Struthio camelus: one gene and its partner. The protein of the gene in region 2 interacts with the protein of the main gene of each other region in a pairwise test. Links are inferred from orthologs where the notes say so. Each region holds a gene or a part of one and is shown on either strand. Other genes may lie near its edges.

Region 1 (7,887 bases), about 23 Mb from region 2:
AAATTTATAAAGCTTGTACACTTCTAGTCATGCGCACATTGTACCAGAAGGCTCATTTAAAGCTAGGCAAATAGTTTAGAAGTCCTTTCGCAAAATGCAAGTTTTCTTCAGAGACGTGTGAGAGTAGGAGTAAATGACAGATCGGAAAGAGGGATCATTGCTAACATTAGCTAATGGCCAATTTCAGACATCCTTCCCCCATGTATTCAATGGCAGCAGCAATATCCTTGCCCAAGGAGAGCAAGCCTAAGAACTGAGCCTAAGAAGCCTTCTTCCTACATATAGCTGTCTCTCTCAGCATCAGTCATCACTGGGACCAGAAAGGATCAGATATACATAGGCAAAAGCAATAAAAAGGTTGATTTTAATAAATCTCTTTTCTTTAACTGGTGCTGCAGGTTCCTCCCACAGCCCTTCAATCATTACACATCCAAAGCTTCCTCATTCTTAGCCTGGTATATTAGAAAAGGAAAGTTTATACAGTTATGCTACACATTAAAACTTGAATACTTGTCTGCATATATAATGAATTTTGAACTTATTAGTCAGTTTTTATCAAATTCAGCTAACAGACTGAGAAGTCTCAGAGATAATCAAGTACTTATAATTTTAGCAAAAATACGTGTGTGCCTCTCATACTTGAGCACTTAAATACCTCTGGAGAGGGAAAGTCTGCAGGTTGAATTTAGACTTCATTGGACAGCACACAGAAAAAAAAATCTACATGAGAGCTAGCGTAAAAACTGTGCAAATGTCAATCACTACTCACCATTAACAATAAGACAAATTCATAGGGAGCTAGCCATTATCAGTCCTGGTATCAGTTATACTTGGTCTTATTTGAATGACTTGTTCCTTAACGGAAATCACCTTTCTGTTCTTGCATGTATCCCTCCCATAGGGCACCATTTCACTGATGATGTATTGAGGCCAGAACACAGGCAGCAAGAAAAATGTTATGCTTTTCCTGCGCATTCAACAGATGTAAATATCTTAAAGTTATATTCACACAAGCCACGGGTCAGCATTAGAATATGTAGCTATTACACTGTGCTCGAGTACACTGCTGATAAAGGCCTTTACTCCATTATTTCTTTCCTTTCTCCAGCTACAGACATATAGTGTTTTTTGACGTTGTTTTGCAGATTGAGCAGCACTTTGTTTCATTAATTTTAATGGGACTATTCATTAAGCAAAATGTCAGGCAACATGACTACAAAAAAAAAAAAATTTACAGTGATTAGTAGCCTTCTCATATGCCTCACTGACCATGGATGCACTTTGCATCCCCCACTCCTCTGCTGAGATACTCAAGTCTACTCTCTCTCTGTAGCACCACATGACATTACCTTCTACTCTTCCAAAGACATTGTCAAAAGTCCCTTTAGAAGAACTTGCTGCCTGCCACAAAGATTTTTGAATTAAATATAATCAAGATCATAAATACAGTATAGAAAAAACTCATATTTTATACAACTACTGAGAAAGTACTCACTACTATGTGCAATATGTTCCCAAGCCCAAGATCTACTTACTCCAATGAACTCAATGTCATCTTCACTTTCATGCTGTGTTGGTGATTTAGTCTCAGGAATGTTGCCAGAGCTAAGAGACTCCATTATCTAAACAGAAACAAATCAAAACATGCTTCAAACATGTTCTATCGTTTTTTAAAAAGTTCTCCCTCATTATGTTTTCAGTTTCATTTACAGCTACTTTGGCTCTACAACCAATTTGCATTCAAATCTCTTCGTATCATTCAGTGACAACTACTGATAATGCTAGAGTAAGTGCTAAAAGAAATAAAATAATTTTGGTTCGAATCATGTCACTACATTGCCCAAGTAATATGCAAAACAGCCTAACCTACAAAACACACCAACACCGTATTCCTCCAGCACTTCCTCATTGTGCAAGCTTTACTACAGAGAGGAACCTGGTACTAGGGTTTACCACCCTAGTTGACTAACGCGTTTCACTCTCAAATCCATACGAACAGAAAAAGCAGAGCTCCTAACTTGCCCGCGCTGGCACCTGCGCAGCTGCGCACCCCCACTAGGATACAAACAGAGGCTTGTTTAGCCAAAGACACGTCTTGGAAGTGATGACTTAAGGCATACTTAGCAGCTACTGATATTTCTGATGCTTTCGGCCACTTTAGGACCGCAGGAGAGCCAGAAGACAGAGTTTCGTCTTGCCAAAGGAGAGACGCCCCGCGAGCAGGCAGCAGCAGGCGCGGATCGCCGGGCCCGAGGCGCCCGCCAGCCCCTCAGACGGCGCCGCCGGGCGGGCACCTCTGCTGACTCACTCGCCCTTCTTCGCCCGCCTGACCACGCTAGCCCAAAGGGTGCCGAGGCAGCCGCCAAAATAAGAAGCCACCAGGCCGAGCGGCAGCAGCCACCACCACGCCGGCCCCACCGAGACAGAGCGGGTGCGCCAGGAGGCGGCGGCGGGGCCGCCCGGCGCCTGCTCTGCTCCGCTCCCGCCCGCCCCGCGCACGCAGCCGCCGTTGCTAAGCGATGGCGCCGCGCTCCCCCCTCTCCCCCCCCCGCCCCTCACAATGCCCCGGCCTCGCTCACCCCGCCGGCGCCGCCGCCGCGACCAGCACCCGCGACGCATCAACCCCCGACCCGCCACCCCGCGCCTCGGCTTCCTCTTCAAACCGGGGGCGGCGGGCAGGGAAGGCGCGGCGGGCGCGGCCTGCTGGGACTTGTAGTTCGCGCCCGGCTCGCCGCGCTCCTCCCCGCCTCTTCCCCGCGGAAGGTGTCGGCGCTACCGCCGCAACGTCATGTCCCGGCTGCCCTGCGGCGGCGTTTTTCCTATCTTTTTTTTTTTTCGGTTCCCTCTTTCTTTTTTTTTTTTTTTTCCCTTCAGCACCTTCCTCGCCCCCGCTCGCTCGCCTTCGTTCTGCGATCGCCCGCTTCTGAATAAAGCTGCCGGTGGAAGGAGGGAAACCCTCAAGCCGCTGCCGAGGCGGGGCAGGGTCACCGCCATGGGGATGGAGAGTGGGCGGGCAGGGGAGGCGGGAAAACCCCCTCCCTCCGGGGAGGCCGCGCGCGCGGCGGCCGTTGGCGGCCGTTGGCGGCGGCCGTTAGCGCCGCGCCGAGGCGGCGGCCGCTGCCCCTCACGGCTGGTGCCGGCGGGGGGCGCTGCCTTGGGGGGGGGGTGCTGCGCCTGGCCGGGGCGTCCGGTCACTGCTCCTGGTTTTCTGTGCGTTTCTGTGTCCCCGCGGGGGTGGGAGGGCGTTGTCACCCCGGCTTAGGAAAGATTTTTCTTAAGTGCTTAAAAAGTGTTTCACTTCTGATAGCTCTTGCTCGAGGCCATCACCTGCCCCCCCCCCCCGACCGGCCGGGTGCCTTGGTGCCCTTCCCTGCCCCAGAGGCCGTGTCTCGGCCTCACCTGACAAGGGGTGGCGGGGGCAGAAGCAGTGTCACCCCGCAGCGCCCGTTGCTGGTGGCCTCCAGAAATCCCGGCATGCTGGGAGCATCCCGCTCTGCTCCTGCTTTCCTAACGCGCCTTGTCCAAAGAGTCTCTCTAGTGAAAACCTGAATATCAGACTATATCAGTTGTGCGTGGGAGAGCTCTCAGAAGGAGAACTGGCGTGGTGTCCTGGGGCCACCTTCCCCCCTGCCGGCTAGGCTTCCTTGGGACGCGCGGTCGCAGCTAGGCTGTGGTGGAGCGCGGCTGGGGAGCAGCCGCTGCCCTCTCGCTCGCTCGCTCCCGGCCTGCTGGGAAGCCCGCAGCAGCCTCCTGGGCGGAAGAAAGCTCCAGAGGGAAACGAAGTGGGTCTGCAAATGGCAATGAAGTAGGTGGTAACGTGATAAATAACAGTGAGTTTAAATGATGGCATCCTGAAATAAATTGACACACCTAATTCTAATCTTTCCTTTAGCTTCTCAAACTATGCTCTGCCTCTTAGGTGTGTAATTGTGATTCTTAATACTTGCCTGCTACTGATCTGCTTCATCCTGTTCTTTGTAGCTCTGAGTCACCCCAGGTCAAAACTGATGAACAGAATCACGTTTACTCAGTGCATTGAGTCTGAGTAAGCCGAATGTCGCTTTCGAGTTGTGTGCCTATATACAACAGCTGCTTGTACCCAAAACAGTTCACTGGTATGTGCTTATTAAACTACACATACACAGGAGAGAGAGAGAATTCAGGGTTACATGTTGCATTTGGATGTTATGAGACCTTTGTGAATAGAAGTGTAAGGAATAATACATCACATGGTGCTTGGCAATGTTAGAATTAATGTAGTGCATTTATTTTTCCTGTAAACACCAAGTTACTGTACTAATCCCAGTTTTAAGCCTCCCTTCATATCATAATGAAAAAATAGCTTTATGATAAAAGATAAACTTGGAAGTACTGAGATCGTGAAACGCTCCTATTATCTCCTTCTGTGAGATGTGATTCTTGCTTTTTTTTACTATTTGCCTGTTAATTAAAATATGATAGTTAACTGGTTTGTACAATGTAATCACTGTTGTTGAACTGTATAAAGAACACTTAGTAGAACAGTTTTATTTTGTTATTAAAACAAAAGAAACTTTGTTGCCATTTAGAAAATTAAAGTCATTGTTGCTGCCTAAACTTTGCTCATATTTTGCATTTATAACCTAAATTTGCTAATAGAGTATTGAAAGCAGCCATTCTATTTGTAGCTTGCATGTGGTACTTAATTAATTTTGATTCTTGAGGACAGATAACACGAAGTCCAATAGTAGTGAGTTGCTAGAATAACTTTCTAGAATAGCAAGGTGGCATTTTTTTTTCAAATTCTGATATTCTACGAAGATGATGCTCATTTGAGTATGAACTTTTCAGCAGTAACTGAGGTAAAGGAGGTTTGTTTGCTCTTGCGATGACCCATCCAAAGATCTTCCCCATAAGTGAACAATACAGTTAATGAAAAGAAGACAGTAAAAGAAAAGTGATATCTGCAATCTGGTCAACATTTAGAATATGCTAACAAAACTCTGAATTCCAGAATTTGAAGATTTTAGCTAATTCCTGCTAATAAAATTCTAGATTCCAAAACTGGAATATTTTAGGTAATTTCTGTGAAAACATGGGCTTTCTAAGTTGTATCAGCTTAGGAAAGTTATTACACAGGCTTTTTTCATAGAGCGTGGAAAAGATGTAGCCTGCTGCACTGCATCACTTGCAGTGAGAGTAGTCCATTTTTTAAAAGAGAGTCAATAGGCTCCCAAAGGTAGCCACGGACAAACCTAGGAGAGCAGGGAGTATTCATGGTCTGCCTGTTCATGAGTTAAATCTTAAAAAAGGCCAAACCTCCAGGAGGAGTCTGGGTGTTAGATAGGATGTGGAAGCCATTTCTGAGCAGACCTCCCTCCTATGTAAACTCAGTAATAATACTCTCTGCAACCAATTCCACGTATTATGTACCCTGAAAACAATTATTTTCTTTTACAAAATTTAAACACATTTCAACTTCCTTCCTTCTGTCCTTGCTCCTTATCGTGAGTGAAATGTTGCCTTTTTAACCACTGATTTCCCTCTTGTGTCAACATTGTATACTGCCATTTACTCTAAATCTAGAAAATTTAGATGTAGATTTTTTTTTTAATTAGACTCCTAGTCAGCTAGTATACTGGTTTTTAGTAAGAGGGAACAGGAACCAGACACATGAAAAACCGATCTATTCAATAGTATTTTGTTTTTATCAGTCAATTTTTTTATCCCAGTCTTCACATACCATAATGCTCTTTCTTCTTTAGAGAACAGATATTCTTATTGACCAATTCATAATAAACAATGGCCAAATCCTTTTGCAAGGTAATCTTCAAATTTAATCTAAAATACAGATAGAAACAGATAGTTCAAATAATTTGTTTCAGTACCGCTTACTTAGTTTTCAATACTGAATCTCTAGTTATTAGATACTGCAGAGTTGTATAGCTCTGTTAGTTTCTTCTACAGTAAGCTGTCAGCCTGCTCTGATTTTCAGTAATGCAAATAATGCATCCTCTATCACTTATTATCAGATGAATTGTACGCTTTGTGACACAACATGTTTACATGTCACCAACTAATTTTGTTTCTAGCGCAAATCTTGGGAAAACCAGTGTTAAGCTGCTCTGCTCTCCCCTCCCCTTGCCTTGTTACTTCTGTAGTTTCTCATCTGTAATTATTTAGTCTTCAGTTTTGTAGTCACAGAGAGCTCGTCAGCATCTTTTTCGAAAGCCAGTTATATTTTCTTCCTTTTCGATCATACTGAAAGGACCATGGCTTTTCTGTTAACCATTCAGTTCTGTAAAATCTTCTCTTTGGTGGGATAACATCAGTTCCACAGGGAGAGAGGAAGACACCGGCTCTTTGCGGCCTGCTCCCTGCTTCTACCCTTTGGCAGAACATTAAAATGTCTGCTTTTCTATGTTCTTTGCTTTTTGTTCAGAACATCCCCTGCCATGCCCATTTTCTAGTGCTTCACGCTACCATGAAAATCCTCCTTTTCTCATTGTGCTGAGCTGCCAGCCCCGCTTGTTTTCATTTGAAAAACTACCCAATCTGCAGAATAGAAAAGCACCTAGTGCATCACGATCTTCAGTGCTGCCCCAGAGGCAGAGAGAGCAGCTACTCACGTTTAGCTCAATGTGCCTGCGTGCCCAAGTGGCTCTGCAGCTCCAGCGCTGAACTGCTCCACAACAGCAGGGTTGCTGCAGCTCTGCTATATCAACTGGGAGGACTTTAAGCTCCTTAGTTAAAAATTACGAGTTTTATAGAAGCTGGCTTCAGAACTATTATTAAAAAAAAGGAGTGAGTGAGAAAGAAAAGCAACCTTACATGTGAAAGTGTGCAGCAGTGACTGATGTAAGAAAAAGCCCAGAAGATAATAAGAATGAAACAAAGACATAGTAATGTTTAATTTTATTTGATAGAAAGTTGCTTCAAAAATATGATTAACTATATACATTCATATATGCTATACATACAGGTACATATACAAAATATACATAATGGCAAACATCCTTCTGTTACATTTCATGGATGATAGTGAACAACATGAAATAGAACTTGTGTCATGTTGTCATATCTGCTTTCATCCTAATCCTATCTACAAGGAATTTATAGACATGAGAGATGAAAAAGGCTAACAGATCACTTAATCCATACCCCTGCCCATGCAAAAGTCTTCTCTATAGTCCATTGATTGAACAAAATTAAGGCTTGCAGCACCTCCCTCTCTCAAGGTATCCAGCTGCTAACCTCGTCCTCAGAATGTTTTCCTGACATTCACCCCAAAGCTACTTCTAATTTATTTCTATAATTCAGAGATGTCTCCTCAAATCAAGCTAAATTTCTTCATTTTTGTGGTTTTTCTCATCTTCATTCCTTAGTTGCTTGTTTGCCAAGTAAAAAATATATTTAACTGTTGTTAGTACTCTCTCTTCTAGGAGAAATACACTCAAGCTTGAAAGCCATGGTCTCTACTTCCCATGCTACAAGCGCACTGTAAACCTGGAATCAGTCAGACTACAAGCAACAGTGGAGAAAAAGGTACCTGTCCTCTTCGTTCCAGGCAGTTATAGGATGTGCCAGTTGCCCGACTGAGACAAGTGCTGTCAGGTCTCCAAAGGAACTGGCATGTTGCTGAGGGGTTTCTGGTACCAACCCCATTAGGACCACCCTACCTACCCACCCACTCCCTAACCAAAAAGTAGCATTCCAAAACCTAGACATAGGGAGTAGGAGCTGGCATCTTTGTCCTTTTCTAGTCGCTTCCTAAAGACTGTCCTCCATTTCGCGACTGAAGGGACCAGACACTCTCAGGTGTGGAGCTGATGTTCAGGAAGGAAGAGATAAACCGGAGTACCGGCAGCAAAAGGCCAGTGAGAGAAGCCATGGCCTCCCCAACTAAAC
Region 2 (7,372 bases):
GGTGCATCTAGTCTTTTTGGTCCAGAGAATAAAATCGAGATTGTCTTGCTCCTGGCTCTTCTGAGAGCTTTGGTTCCGGCAAAGGATGTGCTAAAGAAGTTCTTGAAGGCACGTTTTCATGCTTGAGCACTTTTTCTGTTCTCTAAGGTCGGAGCTACGTTTTGCCCTATGCTCATCAGTTGAAACACCCTCATAGAAGGGTTATCTTATTCTATTTCACCTTTTTTTTTTTTTTGGTAGCTAAACTGGAGTCTTGTTTAGCTGAAAGAATGTTTAAAGGGAGGGGAGTGTGTTTTACGTTGCGAAGTAGTAACTTTCGAATTAAAAATTGTCAATGTGGTTGGAGGCTTAATGTTCCCTCCTGTCTGCTGAAACTTGCATTCCCTCCTGTAAGGTTCTCTTGCAACAACTGCAAGAGAACGGATTAGAAGTGTTTCACAATATTACTGAAACAGATTCATGTAATCACTGGATAATTGGGATATGAAAGTCTTTTATGTATATATATATATATATGTATATATGAAAAGGTTGTTAGGCACTTAATCTTGTCTGTAATTATCCCTGATAATTCTTTGAGTAGTCTGACAGAAATGGTAATGTAATCAGATCTTGTGAGATACTGAGAAACTTCAAATCCATCTTTATGAATTTTATTTAGATGCCTGATATTAATCTAGTATGAAATGCCTTATCTTTTCTCAGGTTGCTAAATGCAGTTACGGTGCTCCTTGCGGGAAAAAAAAATCATAGCATCTCTTTTGAGAAACAATATTTCTGTTAATTTAGGCACTTCCTTACATATTGCAAATACTTCTTGGATTGCATTGAAAACTTCAGCAATATCTTGAACTGTCAAACTTGCTTGTTAATATGAGAGATTTATTCTGCCTCTGAAATGACATGTATAATGACATATATCAAACTGTAGTTATTTAATAGAAATACATTATGGTGAAGACTGAATGAGATGGATGTTTCTTCCACTTTGTAGTCAAGCTTGCTTTGAGTTATACAGCGCTAGAGACTGTATGGAAGCCGCTAACTATATGTTCAATGGTATTTATAACAGCAGTGCTATCTTGTGTGGGGGGAAAAAAAGATAATGGCAAAGGATTGATACTAATTACCCTTTTCATGTTATAGTTCAGTCCATGAAACAACAGAGTAAGCCTGAAGCTTAATTTAGAGAATGTTACCATGAACTACTACTGCTATGTTACTGCTCTCAAATTTATGCTTTTCTTTGTTAATATAGGTGATACCTTGGAGAGGCTCTTTGGCAAAGTAGAAAAGCAATTTGCAAGAAGAGTGGACTGAAACTTATCAGTGGGTGCATGCACCTAAGGCTAGATCAACAAAGGAATTTAAATGATCTAGTTCTCTTTGATTTCAGTAAAATCAGGCAATTAAATGTTTGTGACCATGAACCTTAGTGATGTTACAGATATTTTTACTATAAGCTGGGAAGTCACCATTTGGAAATGCAAGAAGAAAGATTCTGATCTTAGAATGACTGAACTAACAATTGGTTACAGCTGTGAGAAGTAAGTTAGCTTAGCATGAATGTGGCAAAGCGTTTCTGGGAAATATTAACACTATTATGCAACCATGGTTGACTTTATTTGAATTTCTCTGGAATTCTGACAGCGTATTTGAAGAAAATAAAAAAAGAACAGGTGCAAAGAAGAGATACAAAAATGATGACAGAATTGAAATTCTGTGCATCAGGTGAAACTATGAAAACAAAATCTGATAAGGAATAATTACCTGTTTATAAGTATGTTTTAAATAAACTGAGCTCCCCTTTTCTCCGTTAAGGGATAAATACACTGTGAATTAAATCAGACAGGACACACAGTAAACACTGGAAATTTCTTTTAGTGGCAAGTAAGGAGAACAGAAGACATTCTCAGATGGAGCTTGATAAGTTTGTAAAAATAACTTTTTAGGTGGCTACCTCTAATTTAAAAAAAAAAACAAAAACAAAAAAAAAAGACTCATGAGGTTCCCCTCTGTCCTTAATTCTTTCCTAGTGCAAATGCACTGTCCTTCATAGAATTAGAAGTTTAAACCTAAAGTAAACCTAAATTTAAACGTAAATGCATATCTACTTTAAAATAAGGGCATTGGCTATTTCTAACGAGCAAAAAAATAAAAATCAAAGGTGTAATATTTTTGTCCTTGCAGAGTTTTAGCAAGAAGCAAAGTCTTTTCTAAATCATACTATGATATCTTTTACTTGAACCAAAACATTATCTTGGTGATTTTTTTTTAATTAACACATCCTGAATTTGGATAAAACAGTAAAATGCAATAGCATTAGTGACCCATCTCCTTGAGCAAATATATGGAGATCATTTTATCTGCTCCATGTCTTCTAAACAAGTGAATAATAAAGTTAAACTTGAGGTGAAATAAATGAATATAGGTGAGTTAGACCATGCTGCAATACTTGTAACCAGTTTTATATACAGCACATGGAAGGAAATAACGTTTTTTTTTTTTTTTTTTTTTTAGCTTGGAAAGTAAAAACTGTCCCATGCTGTTTTCCTCAGGCTCAATCCAGTGTCCCTAGGGGAGAGAAAATTACTAAATTTTAGTAATAAAGCTTTCACTTGGGCTTTTAAAATTGTGGGTGAACTGAGAGAAGAAAATACACAGAAAAGTGTGTTTAAAAAAAAATACTTTTGAAGGAGTCTTTGTGGACCAGATAATGTATGCTTCTTTCTATTGCCTCACATACCAGAGGCCTTTTGGATATGAGGGCATAGAGATAAGAAATAGGCATTCCTCAACTTCCCTTACACTTTGCAGTAAAGATGGGGGGGGGGGGTGGTTTGTGTGTGTAAGAAAAAACTTTTGCTATCCAGCTTTAAAGGCGTGTGTCTAGTTTATAAATCGAATATAGCATTAAGGAAGGCTTGTACAGTCTTGGCAAAGGAGAAACTTGTGCAGGAGGAGGGGAGAAGGAAGCTTGTTGTTCATTCGGTTCTCTCCTTAAAGGACTCGGCCAGGAGATAGAGCAGTTAAATAAAGAGCTCATTTTGTTCCCATAACTGTAGGCTAACTTGCTGAGGGCTCTCCTATTAGAGAAGGGAATTGCAGCCGACTTAGCTTCAGCTTAGCATAAGCGCCTAAAGCAGGTGAAGCCTGCAGGCCGCGGGACTGAACTGTAACCCAAAGAGCATTGCTGGCAACGTGACTGCAAAGTAAGCTAAAACCAGCCCTCAAGGGCACAGAGTGACCAGAGGTAACAGCTGACCTTTGGATAAGATAAGGTGCAGGAACACAGCAGCCGTCCCGGGATGTAGATGTGAACCAATCAGAGGGAAAGAGACCACCGACTCAGCAAAGAAGATTGGAAGAGACTATCACTGGCAGATGGGAAAATAAAACTGTAAAAAGTATAATTACTTAAGTATTCTTTTGTTCTGGGTCCATCCCCAGAGGCACCCAGCTCGAGCTGTTGCCCTGTCATACCATCCTTTAATTAAATGATTTTGCTGTTGTACGTGTGTGAGACTCTGCTCCTTGGAAACCTAGCGTCAAACTATTTCTACAACATCTCCAGCCTTTCAGCCTAATGCGATCTTGACCTAGCAGACAAGAATTGCTTCTCAAAGGCAAGAATCCAGACTATGCATATGATTGGGGTATCAAAAGGAGAGAGGGGGATTCTTTTCTGAAGCCTGGCTTCTGCGAGGTTTAGATCCGTAATCCTGTGAAATAGGGCTGAAAGCCCAGCTGCCTTTTTTTTTTTGTTTAGTAACAGTAACAGCTGCAGGAACAGTGGATTAGACAATGTCAACAAGTTGATTAGGATGGGAAGCATACTAGCAACTTGGTTCATTAGTGCCTAATAGGGAAGTTCAGCCTCAGGTTTTTTTTTTTGGTTTGGTTTTGTTTTTCTGATTATTGGAACGGAAGATCTGAAACCTTATGTAAACAGTAAGGAAGCTTTGCAGTGAAGACTGCAATACATAAGAGTTCAATAAACAATGATAACAGAAAAAGGACGGGTGAAGAGGTGCAGGGGCCTGAAATGTAAGATTTAAGTAACTCTTAAAATCTGGACATCAGTGTTCCAATTTTCACTCGGGCTGCCTTGTGTTAATGTGGATTTTTTTTTTTCCAAGATACTTTAGCAAAACACATTGTAAAAGTAAGACTGGTGAAATCTTACACAGCAGAGGACAGAAAAAAATGATCAGATTAAAAAAAAAAAAAGGTTAAAAAAAACCCCAAGCCTTTTCGCCGCATGGAGTTTTGTTCCGCCTCTTCGAAGCAGCCCCCGGGCGGCCACGCCCCCTCTCCTGGCCACGCCCTCGAGCCCCGCCCAGACGGCTCTGCCGCCCTGGGCTTGGCGCCTGCGCAGAGCCCCAAGCCTGGCGTCGTCCCCGTTGCGCGTGCGCGAACGGTGCCGTCCCCTCCTCCCCCCCCCCCCCCCGCGCAGCCGTTACGGCCTCCCCTTTGCGCCTGCGCCGAGCGCGCGCCTTTCCGCGGACAGCGCCTGCGCCGCGTCTCGGCCGGCCCGGCTGTGACGAGCGGCGTTTCCGTGCTTTCACCCCTTTTTCCTCTGCCGAGCTTGGTACCCCTTCGCCGCCAAGATGCCGCGGATTATGATTAAAGGCGGTGTGTGGCGGAACACCGAGGTAGGAGCCGGTTCGCTTTAATATCCTCCCCCCCGGGTTGGGGCCTCCTCCGGGATTGCGGGGGAGGGGGAAGGGGGGGGGGTCACCCTACATTAGTGCGCAAGCGCTGTGGGAGCGGTCGTGGCGCGCATGCGTGGAGGGGCTTCCGTAGTAGGGTCGTTTGCCTCCACGGCGGGGATGGGAGTTTGGGGTCTTCCTTATTCCTCTCTAGCGGGGGAATAAAGGGTTAGGGCTTTAGAAGTACCGCGGCTCTGGTAGGCTTGCTTCCCCTGCAGACTGGACCCCCCTGTTCGTCCCCTGGCCTGGTCGGCAGAGGTCGATTCAGTGCTGTTTCTCCTGGGGGTCATGTGTTTGGGGGGGGGGGGGAGGAAGCTCGGCCATGCGTAGCTCCTGGCACGCAGAAACCGCCCCCGCAGCAACTCGAGCTTCTCCGTGGATCCACCTGCACCTCGCCCTGCTCGGAGGTGTCGCTTTTCTAGGTTGGAACTTGTCCTGTACTGCATGGGCAGGGTTCTTACTCACTTGGGATATGAAAGAGCTGGAGTTCGTTCCTCTTGGAGACCCTTCCTAATGCAGAAAAGCTGAAGATAGGTATGGGCTCTTCATCTGCAGCCCAGAGTGTTTTGGGCAGAAGAATCTGTGTTGGCCGGAGTTTGAATGCACAAATGTTTCCCTGTGTCTAAAGAAAAGAAGATGATCTCTACCCTGTTTTTGCCCTCACGTTTCTTTCAGAACTATAAATAATAGTGAAAAAGAAAACAATAGTGCAAGAATTAGAGATTTCAGATTAATTTCGCTAGGTGCCAGGTTCAAAGCAAAGGAGATACTTACTTACTTACTTACTTACACAGTAAACTGTAGAACTCTGCTACTGTATACTGTGGACACTAAGTATTTACATAGTTTCAAAGAGCAGTAAGAAAAATTAATGGAAGATAAATGTCCTATGTTCTCTTAAACACCTATGCTATATAGCAGCTCTGCATCAGGAGGCTGTTGAGTTGCAGGTCAGTGGAGGAAAAGAAGTACTGCTGTGTACGTGTGCTGTTCTTATCATCTTCCATAGCTGATGAATTTTGGCAACTGTTAGAGAAACAGCAGTGGGTTAAATGGATCGTTGTTTCACCCGCTTTTGTATATCAGAGATGAAATAGAAAGCTCTTGTATTTACTGCTATTTTTATGATTAATGTAATGTGAATGTACAACATTAAAAAATACAAAAAGCGGAACTAATTGACGGTCAAAAAAATGACCGATTACTGGCAAATCGGTCTGCTATTGTCATCAGTATGGCTACTGCATGCGATTTGACAGTGAGTAGAATTCAGAAACCGAGAGAGGATTTATGGAAATTTGGGGCTTTTTTAATAGAGATTATATGAACTGCTTCCTGTAGCATCTCAAGCTGAAGCTCATTAGTTTGCAGTTGAAGCTGCTGTGCGCTGTGGGAACTGTCCGCGCTAGACAGCGAGTCTGTCACTGACGACTAGCATCTGCACTGTGCAGCCAAACAGATTCTGAGCAAACTACGTGATCTTATTGGATATAGAATAACATTCGTGGTTGACAAGGCTATAAAGAATAGCTGTGAAGTATTTAAAATACCATTTTCTGAATTGTGGGGAGACCAGAAATAATGAAGCCGTTTTTGTGGAGAAAGGGAGAGAGGAATGGATGGATGGGTTGACAAGGCAATAATTACAATTTTTAGCTTTTGATCATATCTCTATGTGTATAGTTTGATATATATGAACAGCCTGGCCTCCAAGCTGAGGTAATCCTAACTGAATCCATTACGTATTTTTCCCCATAAGCTTGTAAGCTTTCGGATCAGCATTTCTGGATGTAGCATTCTAAACATTTCAGTGGTTTATTTTAGGATTTATTTAGAATAGAGGAACTTCATATTTTGTGGTGTATTTTTTTAACAGCTTTTTCCATTTATAGGTGAATATTCCATCGCAACACAGGTTTGCATTAAAACTTGCAAAAAAACCCACTTCAGGGCGTTATTTAAAACAAGCCACCTCAGAGGATCTATCCTAATTTTTTTTTTAATGTTCTATCACTGTCAAACAGATAAACACCTCCCTGCCTCTTTATTACTATTCTTTGAAAAAGACCTACAGAACCATCAAAAACTGCATGCGTAAGAACGTTGAAACTATTAATTTTGAAAGTTCTGTCAAGCCTGCGAAGTAGGCCGCAGTGATCATTCCTAGTCTTTTTCATTCAGTCTCTATCAATTTCAGTGGGTTTTGGAATACAAATTCTCATGCATCTTGAAATAAAATGTGGAAAAGAAGCAGTAGTGCTTTGTCGTTTCTAGTGGGTCAGCCCTTTTTATGAAACTTACTGCATTCTCTTCTGCTTCAGCTGAGTCTTTCCGCTTTGCGAGTTTTGGTGATCCATAACAATATACATAATTTCTGTTTTAAGGATGAAATTCTGAAAGCAGCTGTGATGAAATATGGCAAAAACCAGTGGTCTCGTATTGCTTCTTTATTGCATAGGAAATCAGCAAAGCAGTGCAAAGCCAGATGGTAAGTGAGAAATACCATGACTGGGAATATGAAATTCATAGTTACTGTGAATTTAGAAGTTACTGAAGATTGATTTATGCCCATAGAGGAACAGTGATTTTAGTTTGAGTTCCATTTCTGTGGTTATTGCAAATTCCTATTGCTTAAAAGGAATATGAAGAAAAATAGCCAA

Evidence for each region.
Region 1: the proteins of CDC5L (region 2) and ZNF451 interact in a two-hybrid assay, tested with the Homo sapiens proteins (2 studies listed by BioGRID and IntAct). The link is inferred for Struthio camelus from reciprocal best matches to the Homo sapiens genes CDC5L and ZNF451.

Annotation. Positions count from the first base shown.
Region 1 is NC_090944.1:36,076,900-36,084,786, reverse strand, and holds the start of ZNF451 (E3 SUMO-protein ligase ZNF451), read right to left. Parts: upstream 3,017-7,887; 5' UTR 2,995-3,016; coding exon 2,878-2,994; exon of another isoform or gene 2,580-2,877; intron 2,492-2,579; exon of another isoform or gene 2,121-2,491; intron 1,623-2,120; coding exon 1,536-1,622; intron 1-1,535. UniProt on the Homo sapiens protein: E3 SUMO-protein ligase; has a preference for SUMO2 and SUMO3 and facilitates UBE2I/UBC9-mediated sumoylation of target proteins. Plays a role in protein SUMO2 modification in response to stress caused by DNA damage and by proteasome inhibitors (in vitro).
Region 2 is NC_090944.1:13,117,524-13,124,895, forward strand, and holds the start of CDC5L (cell division cycle 5-like protein), read left to right. Parts: upstream 1-4,368; 5' UTR 4,369-4,610; coding exon 4,611-4,655; intron 4,656-7,096; coding exon 7,097-7,200; intron 7,201-7,372.